2 linked regions of the Sus scrofa genome follow. Each later gene encodes a partner of the first gene's protein in a complex. Links are inferred from orthologs where the notes say so. Each region holds a gene or a part of one and is shown on either strand. Other genes may lie near its edges. The genes, in order: ABI1 and WASF2.

The links.
Region 2: ABI1 (region 1) and WASF2 share a complex: the UniProt entries of both Homo sapiens proteins name them as parts of the WAVE2 complex. The link is inferred for Sus scrofa from reciprocal best matches to the Homo sapiens genes ABI1 and WASF2.

The regions. Positions count from the first base shown.
Region 1 is NC_010452.4:48,937,209-48,944,135, forward strand, and holds the start of ABI1 (abl interactor 1), read left to right. Parts: upstream 1-2,247; 5' UTR 2,248-2,400; coding exon 2,401-2,517; intron 2,518-6,927. UniProt on the Homo sapiens protein: May act in negative regulation of cell growth and transformation by interacting with nonreceptor tyrosine kinases ABL1 and/or ABL2. May play a role in regulation of EGF-induced Erk pathway activation. Involved in cytoskeletal reorganization and EGFR signaling.
Region 2 is NC_010448.4:84,630,298-84,636,626, forward strand, and holds part of WASF2 (wiskott-Aldrich syndrome protein family member 2), read right to left. Parts: intron 5,463-6,329; coding exon 5,328-5,462; intron 4,805-5,327; coding exon 4,651-4,804; intron 2,245-4,650; coding exon 2,127-2,244; intron 1,109-2,126; coding exon 978-1,108; intron 1-977. UniProt on the Homo sapiens protein: Downstream effector molecule involved in the transmission of signals from tyrosine kinase receptors and small GTPases to the actin cytoskeleton. Promotes formation of actin filaments. Part of the WAVE complex that regulates lamellipodia formation.

The sequences.
Region 1 (6,927 bases):
GCTGATGCAGTATGTTATGTCAATACTAGGTGCAGTTGTTGTTTTTTGTTGGGGGAAGAGAGAGTGTTTGGCTTCTTTCACCTAGCAACATGCATTTAAAATTCATCCATGATTTTGTGTATATATATTTTTCCTTATAATTTATATAGCAGTCTGTTGTTTGGTTGTACTAGTTTGTTTATCCAGTAACTGGCTGAAAGACATTTGAGTTGTTCCCAGGTTTTAGTGATTATGAATAACGCTACTATAAACATTTTCATGGTGGGCATTTTTTGGAGTGAGTTGTCTTCCTTTGTCCATTTTAATTTTTTTTCTCACTATATCTGCAGCATGTGGAAGCTGGATCGACAATGCCAATCCTTTACCTGCTGAGCCACAAGGAAACTCCCTTTTTTGTTCTTTTTTTTTTTTTTTTTTTTAATGGCTGCATCTGTGGCATTTGAAAGTTTCCTGGGATTGAATCCAAGCAGCAGCTGTGGTGTAGGTCACAGCTGCAGCTACCCTGGATCCTTTAACCTAGTGTGCTGGGCCAGGAATTAAGCCTGTGCCTTTGGTAACAAACCGAGCCAATGCAGTCGGATTCTTAACCCTCTGCACCACAGTGGAAACTCCTCTTTTGTCCACTTTCTTTTTTTTTTTTTTGGTCTTTGGTTTTTTTAGGGCTGCACCCAAGGCACATGGAACTTCCCAGGCTAGGGGTCGAATCAGAACTGTTTTCACTGTCCTACACCACAGCCACAGCAATGCCAGATCCAAGCCGTGTCTGTGACCTACACCACAGCTCACAGCAACACTAGATTCTTAACCTACTGAGCTAGGCCAGGGATCGAACCTGCAACCTCATGATTCCTAGTCGTATTCTTTTCCACTGCATCAACAACGGGAACTCCCTCTTGTCCATTTTCTAATTGAATTGTCTGTCTTTTTTTTTTTTTTTCTTTTTAGGGCCTCACCTGAGGCATATGGAAGTTCCTAAGCTAAGGGTCAAGTCAGAGGTGCAGCAGCTGGCCTATGCAACAGCCACAGCAACCTAGGATCTGAGTCCCTCTTTCAACCTACACCACAGCTCAAGGCAACACCAGATCCCTGACCCACTGAGCAAGGCCAGAGATCAAACTTGAATCCTCATGGATACTAGTCAGACTTGTTTCCACCACATCACAGCAGGGACTCCTGTCTGTCTTTTTTTTATTGACTTGGAGGAGTTTTTTTTTTTTTTTTTTAATATATTCCAGATACAGGTCCTCTGTCATAAGTATGTGTCATGGCTTTCTTTTTATTTCTTCTTTTCTTTTTAGGGCCACACTCTCAGCATATGGAAGTTCCTGGGCTAGGGGTTGAATTGAAGCTGCAGCTGCTGGCCTATGCCACTGACACAACAACACCAGATATGAATTGCATTTGTGACCTATGCTGCAATTTGCAACAATGCCAGATCCTTAACCCACTGAGCAAGGCCAGGGATAAAATCCTCATCCTCACAGACATTATTTCAGGTTTTAATCTGCTAGGCACAATGGGAAATCTCAATATTAATATATATATATATATATTTTTTGGTCTTTTTAGGGCTGCACCTGTGGCATATGGAAGTTCCCAGCCTAGGGGTCAAATCAGTGCTATTGCCTCGGGCCTACACCACAGCTTACTGCAATGCCAGATCCTTAACCCACTGAGCGAGTATCCTTTACTCAACTTGCACCCCCAGTCCATTGCTTGGTGTAGAGCTGGCAATAACAAGGGCAAGTTAAATTTTAAGTAAACTGAGGGCGGCAGAAGTTTAGAAAATAAAGCCTGAGTGGAGTTATCTCTAAAAAGACAGAGGAAGTAAAGATCTGGAATATCCTTATTCCAGTCCTTTTTAAACCTTATCAGATTGATATCTCTGATTCACAGGCATTTCCTAGTTAAGTTCTACCAAGTATTACAGCTTTCTCGGGGACCGGGTTTTATTCTCTAGTATCACTCTGCGGCGCCATCTGCCGGACCCGTCAAGAGACTAGAAACTTAAACCACCACCCTCATTCCAAGTTCTTTAAATATGCTCCTCCTCGTTCTTTTTCGGAGGCTCCCTGAACGCATGCGCTTCTGATGGGCAGCCACGTCTGCAAGAGACTACAATTCCCAGAAGGCCATGCCAAAGGAAAAAATTTCCATGGTTGCGGGAAGGGGGCGGGAAAGACAGGAAGGCTCGCGAGAAAAGAGGTTGAGGCGGCTGCGTGAAGTGGGTGGAGGCGGGTGGAGAGAGTGAGGAGGAAGAGGAGGAGGTTCCGTCCCACAATACCAGGCGGGAGGGCGGGCAGGCGGTTTGTATCCGGGCTGTGAGGTGCTCGGCGTCTCCGCAGACCTTGCTGCCTCTGTCTCTTTAACGCGAGAGGAAGCGATGCAGAGGGGTGGAAAATGGCAGAGCTGCAGATGTTACTAGAGGAGGAGATCCCGTCTGGCAAGAGGGCGCTGATAGAGAGTTACCAGAACCTGACCCGGGTGGCGGACTACTGTGAAAACAACTACATACAGGTGAGGAGCGCGGTCGCGCGGGCGGGCGCTGGCCGGCCGGGCCAAGGACCCGCCGGCGGCCGCCTGGGTGACCAGCCCACTGGGAGGGGTGGGGAATTGCCCTAACCTTAGCGGCAGCCCCAACCCCAACCCCAACCCCAGCGCCAACCTCAACCCCAGCCTCAGCCGGGGCGACAGCAAGTGGCCGGGTTTGGGGAGTCGGGCTGCGATACAGGAAGTGGCTGTGGTGGTTGAAACCCATAGAAGCGGAGAGAGAAAATGGGCGAGGGAGCCCGGAGCTCGCGGCCGTCGCAGCCCGGCGCCCCCCTGCCGCCCGCCTCCCCGCGGGCTCAGCCCCCGGAGTCGCGCTTCCCCCCGGCAGCCCTCCACCCGCCGGGCTTTCGCCCCGGAGTCCCCCTAGAGCCCTGCCGCCTCTCTGCCGGCCCAGGGGTCTCGGACCGGTCGAGCAAGGGGAGAGCAAAGGGCCGGGACGAGGCGCGGGGCGGAGCGGCAGGAGAGAGAGGAAAAGCGGGGTGTGTGTGTCGGGGGAGGGTGGGGTGGGGGCGATTATGTCAGTTTAGCCCAGAGGGTGTGTCTTTTATTTATTTATTTTTTAAAAAATTGGTCGTGAGTCACATCACAGAGACCTCCCCGAGGAGAGGAGGAAGCGAGTGGGGAGCGAGGGAGGGAGTAGAAGTTAATCTCCAAATTCCTTTAATTGAAGGTTTGTAAATCTGCCTGCCTGTCCATTTTCAAGTCGGGTTTTTTTCCCTCTCATCATTTTCACTTCCGCCCCACCGTAATATATTCTAGAGATTGTTAGGGCGATCGTTAGCTTGAAACAAATTATTCTTAACTACTTGGAAAAATGGCTTAAATACTCTCTCTTCCTCAAAAGTTCTTGAACTGCTAGCTTCCTAAGTAACTTAAAATAGAATGGTGTAATCGCCGGTTGCTGTTTTTTTTCCTGAGGTTTCTCTCTTTCCATCCTAAGTACTTGTGTAGAATGAATCTCAGTAGATTACTGAACATTTAGTCTTAGAACCATAACGACAAATACGTTATTGTTGAATGTTTTCGAAAATTCTTGGACCTTTATCTATGATAGGTGGTTGCTTGTTTGCTTTTATTTTAATGATTGAAAGTGAATTATGTTGTGGTGGTTTGCTTTGTAGATCTTTAATTGCGGTAAACTAACATTTTTCAATAGAAGCAAGTAAAAGTAGCAGAGTCCTTTTTAATCAGGATAATGGCACCAAAAATTCGCTTGTTAGTGGTAAGGCATGACCAAAACGTGTTTTGAAAGGTTAGAGTTACTGTAATTCCGAACTAAGGTATTTATAGAAATGCATCCCATGTGATTGTCATTTTTAAGAACCAATGGTTTCTGTGTTGGCAAATGCTTTCCTTTTTATTTTTAGAAGGAGATACTGTTTTCAGAATATTTTGAATATTTTTCAATTTCCATATTAGTAACACTGTATCTTCAGTAGCACTACAAGGAATTTATCTCATAAATTTTTTCAAGATTTTACTTTAGGAATTCCACTGATAAACTTGTTGAATGCCTGCTACATCTACTGTTTTCGCTGTTTTTGCAAACTGCTTTTAAAAAAAATTCTAAAATCTACTAGAAATGTGGATATACTTTTCAAACAGAAAAGTTATTTTGTAGTTGATTGATACCAAAAATATACAAGTTTCATTGTGAAAAGCCCTAAAATTGAGGTGATTCTCAGTTTGCTGAAGGTTTTAAAGATTTTGAAAGTCAGAGAGAAAGCACAGGAAGTTAAATTGCCTCCATTAAGGGAAAGTCATTTCTTTGTAGAAATCAGCAGATAGGTACTTCATTAAGGGATGGTTTCTTTTTGTTTTGCATGTTGGGAAATCTGACAAATACATGGTGTGGTAACTGCTATGTGTTGGCAAATGCAAACGTGTTTTAACCTGTCTGTTGAGTATTTCTTTTTCAGGTAGTTGTGTGCTAGAGGTACCCCCACCCCTTTTTTTCCCTCTTGCTACCATCATGTAACTTTGAAGTACTTTTAAACTTCATTATATCCCTAGTTAAATAAATCATGTTATTTCTCATAGTCTTTAAAGCATATTAGTACCATGGTGCCAAAATCCACTGTAAGTGGCCCCCAGTTTCTTTTTGGTGGTCCTAAACTTGATGCTAGTGAGATAGTCCCATGTAAGCTGTGGGGGTGGGAAGAGATGAAGTTCACACACAGCAATGTTGATGTTAGAGGCTGCTGCTGCTTTTTTTTTTTTTTTTTTGCTTCCCCCCACCTCCACTCCTTTGATATGTAGTAGTTGCCCCGCCAGGGATCAAACCCTAGCCACATCAGTGACCCAAACTGCTGCAGTGATAAGGCTGGATCCTTAACCCACTGCAGCACAAGAGAACTCCCAAAGCTAACTTTGGGTTGCTTGAAGCTGGCTACCAGTTGCCTTCCCAAGAGGCTCAGACAGGCTCAGAAGGTAATGAGGACTTTGTGAGAGTTGATGTGTTGGTAGCTGGCTTTATGATGTGCTACGCTACTGTTAAGAGGAAACTCATAATACTAGAAATATCCATTTACATGTCTTTTGAGATCTCTCTGTATCCCTTCTGTGACAGGGTAATAGCCAACACCCTGTGTAAACATACCTTCTCTTGGGAAGAGTATATGGTCACTTGTGTTTTGAGAATTTTTTTACACCCCAAGTTAAGTTTTTGCCAGCGTGGTTTTTATCCTGAGATAAAATCACTTTTCATTTTGTTATTTTCCTGTAGTTTTGAAGTACAGTTCAGTCAGGTATGGTATTTAGCTGGAAGGTTCTTTTGGCTGTAGTACAGTTTAGTCCTTGAGCACTTTATTAGCTCTTTTGGACCTGTTGACTTTAATTATTAAATTGTATTAATAGCAGAACTTCTCAAGAGAGCCCACTGTCTTAAAAAGGGTTTTTTTTTTTTTTTTTGTCTTTTTGCCTTTTCTTGGGCTGCTCCTGTGGTACATGGAGTTTCCCAGGCTAGGGGTCGAATCAGAGCTGTAGCCACCGGCCTACGCCAGAGCCACAGCAATGTGGGATCCAAGCCGCATCTGCAACCTACACCACAGCTCATGGCAACGCCCAATCCTTAACCCACTGAGCAAGGCCAGGGACTGAACCCACAACCCCATGGTTCCTAGTCGGATTTGTTAACCACTGTGCCACGACAGGAACTCCAAGGTTTTTGTTTTTTTAAAAAGGTTTTTGAAATTCTTTGGGAAAATAATTTTCAAAATAGAAAGTGTTGGAGTTCCTGTTATGGCTCAGCAGAAACAAATCTGACCAGTATCCATGGGGACGTGGGTTCGTCCCTGGCCTTGCTCAGTGGGTTGAGGATCTGGCATTGCCCTGAGATGTGGTGTAGTTTGCAGACGTGGCCCGGATCTGGCATTGCTGTGTCTGGTGTAGGCCGGCAGCTACAGCTCCCATTCGACCCCCAGCCTGGGAACCTCCATATGCCACTGGTGTGGCCCTAAAAAGGCAAAAAAACCCCAACCCCCCCAAAAAACCCCCCATATTTATGACATAAAGAAAAACCTTTGGCTTTTTCTGTCTTTAGTTTGAATTTTTTTGTGTGAATTATATCAAGGACACTCTTCAGTTAGAACTCACACATTTGGTCAGTTCTCTTTGCTTTACTGTAGGGACCATACCACATTTGTAATAGGAAAGGAAAATAGGAAGGAGATCTAAGTGAAAAGGAGTAGAAACTGCTTAAGAAAGGTTTCTAAACACACAGATTTCTAGGTTGGATAAGGACAGAAAAGTGTTTACAGCCTAACTTTTTAATATAATTTTTCTGCCTGGAATTCCTGTAGCAGGAGCTTTGCTGGGTTAACAAGTATATCCTATAGTCTGAGAGGATGAAGGCATTATCATCAGTGAGCTATGTAGTTTAGCTTGACTTCTACCTGTGACATTAGTTTATGCTCATTTGCTCATTATACCCAGGTGATTGTGGAAGGCAGGTAATTTTTAAGCAGGGGAACTTTGGAGTAGGTAAAAGCTGGCATTTTTGGTACCGTACAACTTATTTATTGCAGTTTATAAACCATGTCACTTAGTTATTATGATAATTCCATGCCTTTTTCTTTTCTTTTAAACAGATGAGCAATTGGAGGTTCAGAGATGTTAAGTACCTGGCCTAAAGTCCCATATCTTGTATGAAGTAGTGCCTGGAATCAAACCCAGATTTTCTGATTCTGTATCCTAAGTGCCTTTTAATGAATACTGAATGGGGTGCTTATTGCAATGTAGAGGATAAAAAGAATATATGAAAAGGGTAATGGAAAAGGGAAGAGTAATGTAATTGCTTTTATTTATTGAGTACCTCTCTGTCACAGTTTGTGCTGGTTGATTTGTACTATCTTTAATCCTTATAAAAGCTCTCTGTGA
Region 2 (6,329 bases), on another chromosome or scaffold:
GTAGAAAGAAAGGTTCACTTTTCCTCTCACCATCTTCATCACTCTTTAAAACAAATCTCTTAATCCAGGAAGAACAAGTGTCAGAAGTGTCAAGATTTCTGAAAGTCAAGATTTTCATGGTAGAGTTATTCCTAAAAGCAAGGACAACTCCACTCTTTCCTTTTATCGTCCCTAGACACCCGGCATGGGCTGGCATGGTTCTCTGACAGCCAGGATGCAAGGTATTTAGGGGAAAAACCAGCGCGACATTCATGCCAAGCAGTCGTGGTGACTTGGCTTTGAATGTCACACAGGTCAGACACCAGGATAAGAATCAAACCAAGCTTTCAAACCATTTTTTTTTTTTTTTCCTTTTAAACCTCTAGTGTGATTTGGAATTGGGAAACGGGGTCAGACTGACATCTACTATTTCTCCACAGAGATATACAGCCTCAATGCTAGCCGTGCGACTGTTCCCACACTGCCTCTGAGGTCGGCTTCAGCCCCTTGGCCAGCCTCTCTCCCAAGACTGACAAAGGCTGACTGAGAAGTGGCTTTGGCGATGTGCACAAATTCTCTGCCTGGCCCTCCCCACACCAGTGAAATGCCCAGCTCTTAGCCATGACCTTCAAATCAACACTCTGGAGGCAAAGGCCTTCCAAGACCACTTTTCTTCCCTTTCTAGTCTTTCCTTTGAGGCCCTCAGACATAGCCATGTCTGGAAGAGCAAGGGCACTAAAAGCCATGGGCATTCTTTTTCCAGGCCATTCTGGTCATCTCATTTAAACTGCTTGAGTCTCTTGATTTTTTTTTTTTAGCAAATTTTAATCACCAGACAGAGGCACTTTAAAGTAGCTGATTAACAGTGGTATTGATTTAAGCCACAGAGCCAGACTTAAGGGTGTATGAAAGGTGTCACACATAAGCTGTCAGACGGCTGCCCTCGGGTACCCAGCCCCTTCCAAGAATGCTACCAAGAGAACAAAAGCATCACCTACCCAGACGGCCCCAGCTTTTCTTTGGATTCCACAAATTCTTGACCCATCTTCATTTTCTCCCACTCTTCCTTACGTGTCTTGATTTTACGTGGGTTTACATTCCCTCGATTTGGATTATCTTTCTTTTCTTTCTATAATGAAAAGAAACAGAAAAGCCTTAATAAAACACTTCCCAAAGTTATTCAGTAAAATTCCATCACTTTCACGGATATACACCCATGCATATGCTGTCTATGCCTAGAGAGCATACGGTAACTACAGAATTCATAGAACTGCTGGGTTTAGAGTGACCTAGAGGTCATCTAATCCAAACCACCTCCTGGGATCAAACACAGTTCCTCAATCCCACACTCAAACATTTCTAGCAATGAAACCCCATTACCTCTTTGGGTAACTCATTCATGGTTTTGAGCAGCTCTAATTGTTAGGAAGTTAGTAAACTGTTATTTGCTATGCCACAAAGGTCAGTCAAGAGAGAAGAGAAATAATGACGGCGACAGATATCTGGGACAGATATAAGGAAATAGTTAAAAACAAACCAAAACAAGCAAAGAAGAATTCTTCAGCCTGTGCAGCTGCACTAGCCCCTGGCACTCTCTTGGGCCTCCTGGCAGCCACACTAATGGGATTGTGAGGTTGTACCTGGTAGGTCATATGCTTACACACATCACTGGGAGTCTGGGGGGAGCATCTACCAGTGTAGGCCTAGGCCCCCACCTCTGCCCCGCCCAACCAGTAGTCAAGGTGTTAAACCGCTCCTGTTACAAATCAAACACTGTAGAGCCTTGTGCTGATCTGAGAAACGAGCTGCAAAACTGGCGGGGAAGGGACTAGCCTAGTTTGAGTGTCCAGCAGAGTCAGGTGCAAATTGCAAGAGAAATAAATGGTGAATAGAAAAGTCAATTTCTAAAACTCAGCCTGAATATACTCGCCTGTTAATAGCGCTGAGGGGAACAAACACATTTTTGGTGTGATTTATACTTTCATCTTGGTTGTGCTTGGAGTGGACACATTTTTTTAAGAGTCTCACCTGGCATCCAAGCAACCAGCCACTCGGAATGATCACTTCACATAAGACTGGCTTCCTTTTTATCCCCCCTCCACAATCGTGCCTACTGATGTGTAGAACAGAGGCCCCCTTCCCCTCACCCTGTGCTTTCTCTTCTCTTTCATGATATCCTTGGTGTCCTGCAGCATCTTCTCCTTCCAAAGATCAAAGAAGTACGAAGGGTCTGTGTAGAATTTGAGTGCCTCTTTCCCATCGTCCCTGGGATAGAAATGAAGACAAGTAGCTGTCAGTAGACAAGACGAGCTCCCAACCAAATCAAATATTCCAAGCACCTACCAGTTAGCAAGGTTTTTTCGGGGGGGGAGGGGTGAGGGGGGGCTTTTTAGGGCTGCACCCGAGGCATATGGAGGTTCCCAGGCTAGGAGTCAAACTGAAGCTGCAGCTGCCGGCCTACGCCACAGCCACAGCAACACCAGATCCAAGCCATCTCTGCGACCTACAGCACAGCTCACAGCAACTCCAGATCCTTAACCCACTGAGTGAGGCTGGGGATCAAACCTGTGTCCTCATGGATACTCGTCAGGTTCTTTACTGCTGAACCACAGTGGAAACTCCCGGTTAGCAGTTTTTACACTGAGGACTCAGGAAGTTGTTCAAATCAACTGCATATTTCTTCTCCCATGCCAGCATTCCAGTGCCCCTGAATGGCATGGCACCTCTTTACTTATCTGGTTTTTTAAGAACTTTAGCCTTACTTTCAATTCCTGGTAGAGGAATTTGCATGGTCAGGGCAAGAATGGGCTAAAGCAGCAGGGATCCTGATTATTTCTAATGATCTCCATGGCCACAGACCTCTCCCTGAGGACATTTTGATCCCTTAGCACATCAGACGGGATTTCTGCCACTGGTTCCCCTCCTCCCATTAACTGCCCAGAACTCTCTAGGAAGCATTAGTGGTTCCCACCCACCCAAACCCGTGCACGCATGTGCAAGTTCACATGTGTACATAATGTGTGTATATACACATATGAATGTGCATATCTGTGCAGCTGCTATTCTTCTACAAATACTGGTAACCAAAGCACTCCACCTACTTGCTCCCTTCCAGAATAGCTCAGCATTCACCCCTACCTCCACCCCAACCACCAGGGGGCCCCAGTGAGAAAAGATGGCCAGCTGTTTTATGACCCTAAGATTTAATTACCACCTCTTAGTGGCTGTGACAGAAGCACAGAGTGAGCTACTGAGTGTCACTATAAGGGCTGTCTGCCAGACTCAATGACCCCTCAATGACTCCGCACTTTGGGATGGCTAGGTCTCTCTCACTTTCCAGAGAACATGTGCTTGGGGTGGACATTTATTTTAACACTACCCTGAACTAAAAAGAATTGTAAAGGTCATTCTTCCCTGACCTCCAATCCTATCACAACACTCAGAAAACATTTCCTAACCAAGCACTAGCGACTTTTATATTACCTCTTGTTTGGAGTTGGCCACACCACTCCTCATGTCTGTTAGGGCAAATCAAGGAAATTAAGAGGAGGATGCTAATAAGGAAAATACCTGAAATTAACTGAAAATAAACTTGTCTTATCACCCTCCCTTCAATACTGTCAGGTGTATAGTCCCTTCCTGTCCTCCAACCCCTCTGCCCTGATCTAACCAGAGCAAACGATGGAGGCTACAGAGTCAAATCCCTGCCCTGCTATGTCAGCTGCCCCTTCGAGAGCCAAGGGGCAAACATAATTTCACACGGCAACAATCTTATAGGAGAGATGCCATGTACTTTTTCTGTATCTGTGTGAGAAGCAACCATGCTCCTATGCCCGATCTCTGGATCAGGCAGGTGTCCTTGAATTTCACACACACACACACACACACGTTCTACTCTGCAGTACACCCGTGTCTTACAGAAGACATCTGCCTCCAGCTATCTGTAATTACTTTTACCTGTTCCAAAGATATTTATGGATGTGAGCAAGATAAATATTCGCTTTCTGCCCCTGCGTGGTGGTTTTTCGCAGGATGATAACACGACCAGACCACAGAGGGGAGGGGCAGCGAGCTGTCTATAAGGCTACCCTTTTCAAGTCCAGCCACAGCACTGTAGGTCTTTTCTGAGGGGAATGTTGAAAGGATGTTCAAAACAAAGTGAGCGACACTCATTTGGAAGAATGCCAATTACTCCTTAAGCTCTGGAAGGACCCTCAGGGCCCAGAGCAGCCAGTCCACAAGGCTGGCCCCACTAACACGCCCAAACATCTGGTAATCTAGTGGTTTCAGAGTAAGTGGGAGCCCTGCTAGAATGTTGCCCCTGGGATGAATGCTATAGGACTGCCTTGTAACAAAGTCCTTTTGGTTCTATAATAACTAAATTCCTTGGATGGAATCCAAGACGGACCAGGCTTATACCAAATTAAACTCTGCAGCATGCGATGCTATAACAAACTTTCAATATATATTATATTTGCTATGAATTTCAGAAACCAAACAATAACAATAACTGTTTATATGGTAAATTTCAGCTTCTGCCGCCTCAAGCAACTCTGGGGTAGGTAGTAAGCTTTTCGATACAACAATCTGCTGGAAACAACATCTTTGAATAAAAAGACAAGCTAGTGTTGTTAACCACAGTCCGAAAAAAGGAGGAGCTCGCCAGGTTACCTGTAAGGGGTAAGATTGTTGAGAGGTGGAGGAGTATCACAGGTGTTGTATGTTTCCAAGACAGGTATGGGGAGAGAATTTCTGTCAAAAAGCTTCTGGTCCTGAACAGTAGAGCTTCGGAAGGCCTTTCGGGTGTTGATTCCTTGTAGTGACACTGAAAGAAGATGGGAGGCATTAGAAAATGGACGACAGGCTATTTGAGCAAACACTGAGTCACACCAGGCAGAGAGGCCTCAGCTGCTGCATTTCTTGGCTGCGGCTGTCTGCAGCCTGGTTTTTTTTCCCCTCTTCTGGGGAAGCCCCACAAGGCTGTCGGCAGCCCAGCCATTTCACGACTGAACAAAATGAGGCAACACAAAGGTTTACTATGTGGCCAGCTCTAGCAGACCTCTCCTTAGGAGGAATGAATCTTCCAAGTACTTTTATGGTAGCAAAATACGACGGGGGGGAAGGGGAATCTGAGACAGAGGGAATTGGGGGAATGGGAGAAAGGGAGTGTGTGGAGGTATGGTAGAGACACAAAGGTTTCTTTACACCACCTAGGCTTGTATCTTTTCAAAGAAGAACTCCATAGGTTTCTATGATTTCTCCCCTCACTTTTTTATAAATCAGGGGGAAAAAAAAATCGTAAGCAACTGCTCAGCAGAGCCTGCAAATGCTGAGCTCAGCTTCCTTACCTTCTTCTTCCTTGGGATCCAGCTGAGTGACTTTAACTTGTAGGCGGTCGACCCTCTCAGCAAGGGAGCTTACCCGAGAGGCAAAAGTATTTGCCTGAGTAAAGAGCTCTCCAAAAATGTCCTCGGCATATTTACCTGAGAGAGCAAAGAAACCAAGTCACTGGTGCATAAAAGTGACATAAATGGTCAGAAAAACTGGTTACTGAAGAATGTACTCCCCACCTCCCAAACACCATCCCCCACTCCCCTAAGATGGTTCAGGCTACATGCAGAGCTTGCCCTTGGAGACAGAAACATACCCTCCAGAGCCTGGGCAGTTTGCATGTGTTCTATAGCTAATAGAGTCTTCCTGGCAAACTCTGGCTGTTACAAAACTCAAGGCAGGCGGAATAAAATCAAAAGTTTAAAACAAAAAAACTAATCCTAGAAGCGTGGATAGTACACCTACACATTTGCCTATAGCCTTAGCCCTTTGCTGCTCTGTAAAAGCACCTTGTAAAAATGGTTCTGGAAAACAGATTGGGAGTTAAAAGGACCTTCTAGATGTTCACAATTAACATGAAAAATAAGAAATTACATCCTCAAGGGAGCCCCAAAAGTATGCTGAACAACCATGATGAGATACTGTATTTTGGGGAGGTCTTTAACTTAGTAACAACTCATAATAGAGACGTATAATTTCTTCTCAGGGGTTAAAAGGTTATTTCATGTTTTTATAACCTGTAACTTTGAAAGTCTTTGCTTTAGGTTATAATCCTTCAAATCTACATCTCAGGGAACAAGTGGAAAGCTGAAACATTCAAGCTCTCCCTGAAAAACAACATACCAGTGGTCTCTTTCCACAATGTCTTGTTTTTTTGAAAAAGAAAAGAGTTCTGTACTTTCAACCCTGGAATGCAAGGAGAATCTGCAGCCAAAGAAACATAACAGCAATCTGACACTACCTCCATATTGTCATTCCAAGCCACAGAGCACATTCTTGCTAGGAATGAGAAGTGGTGC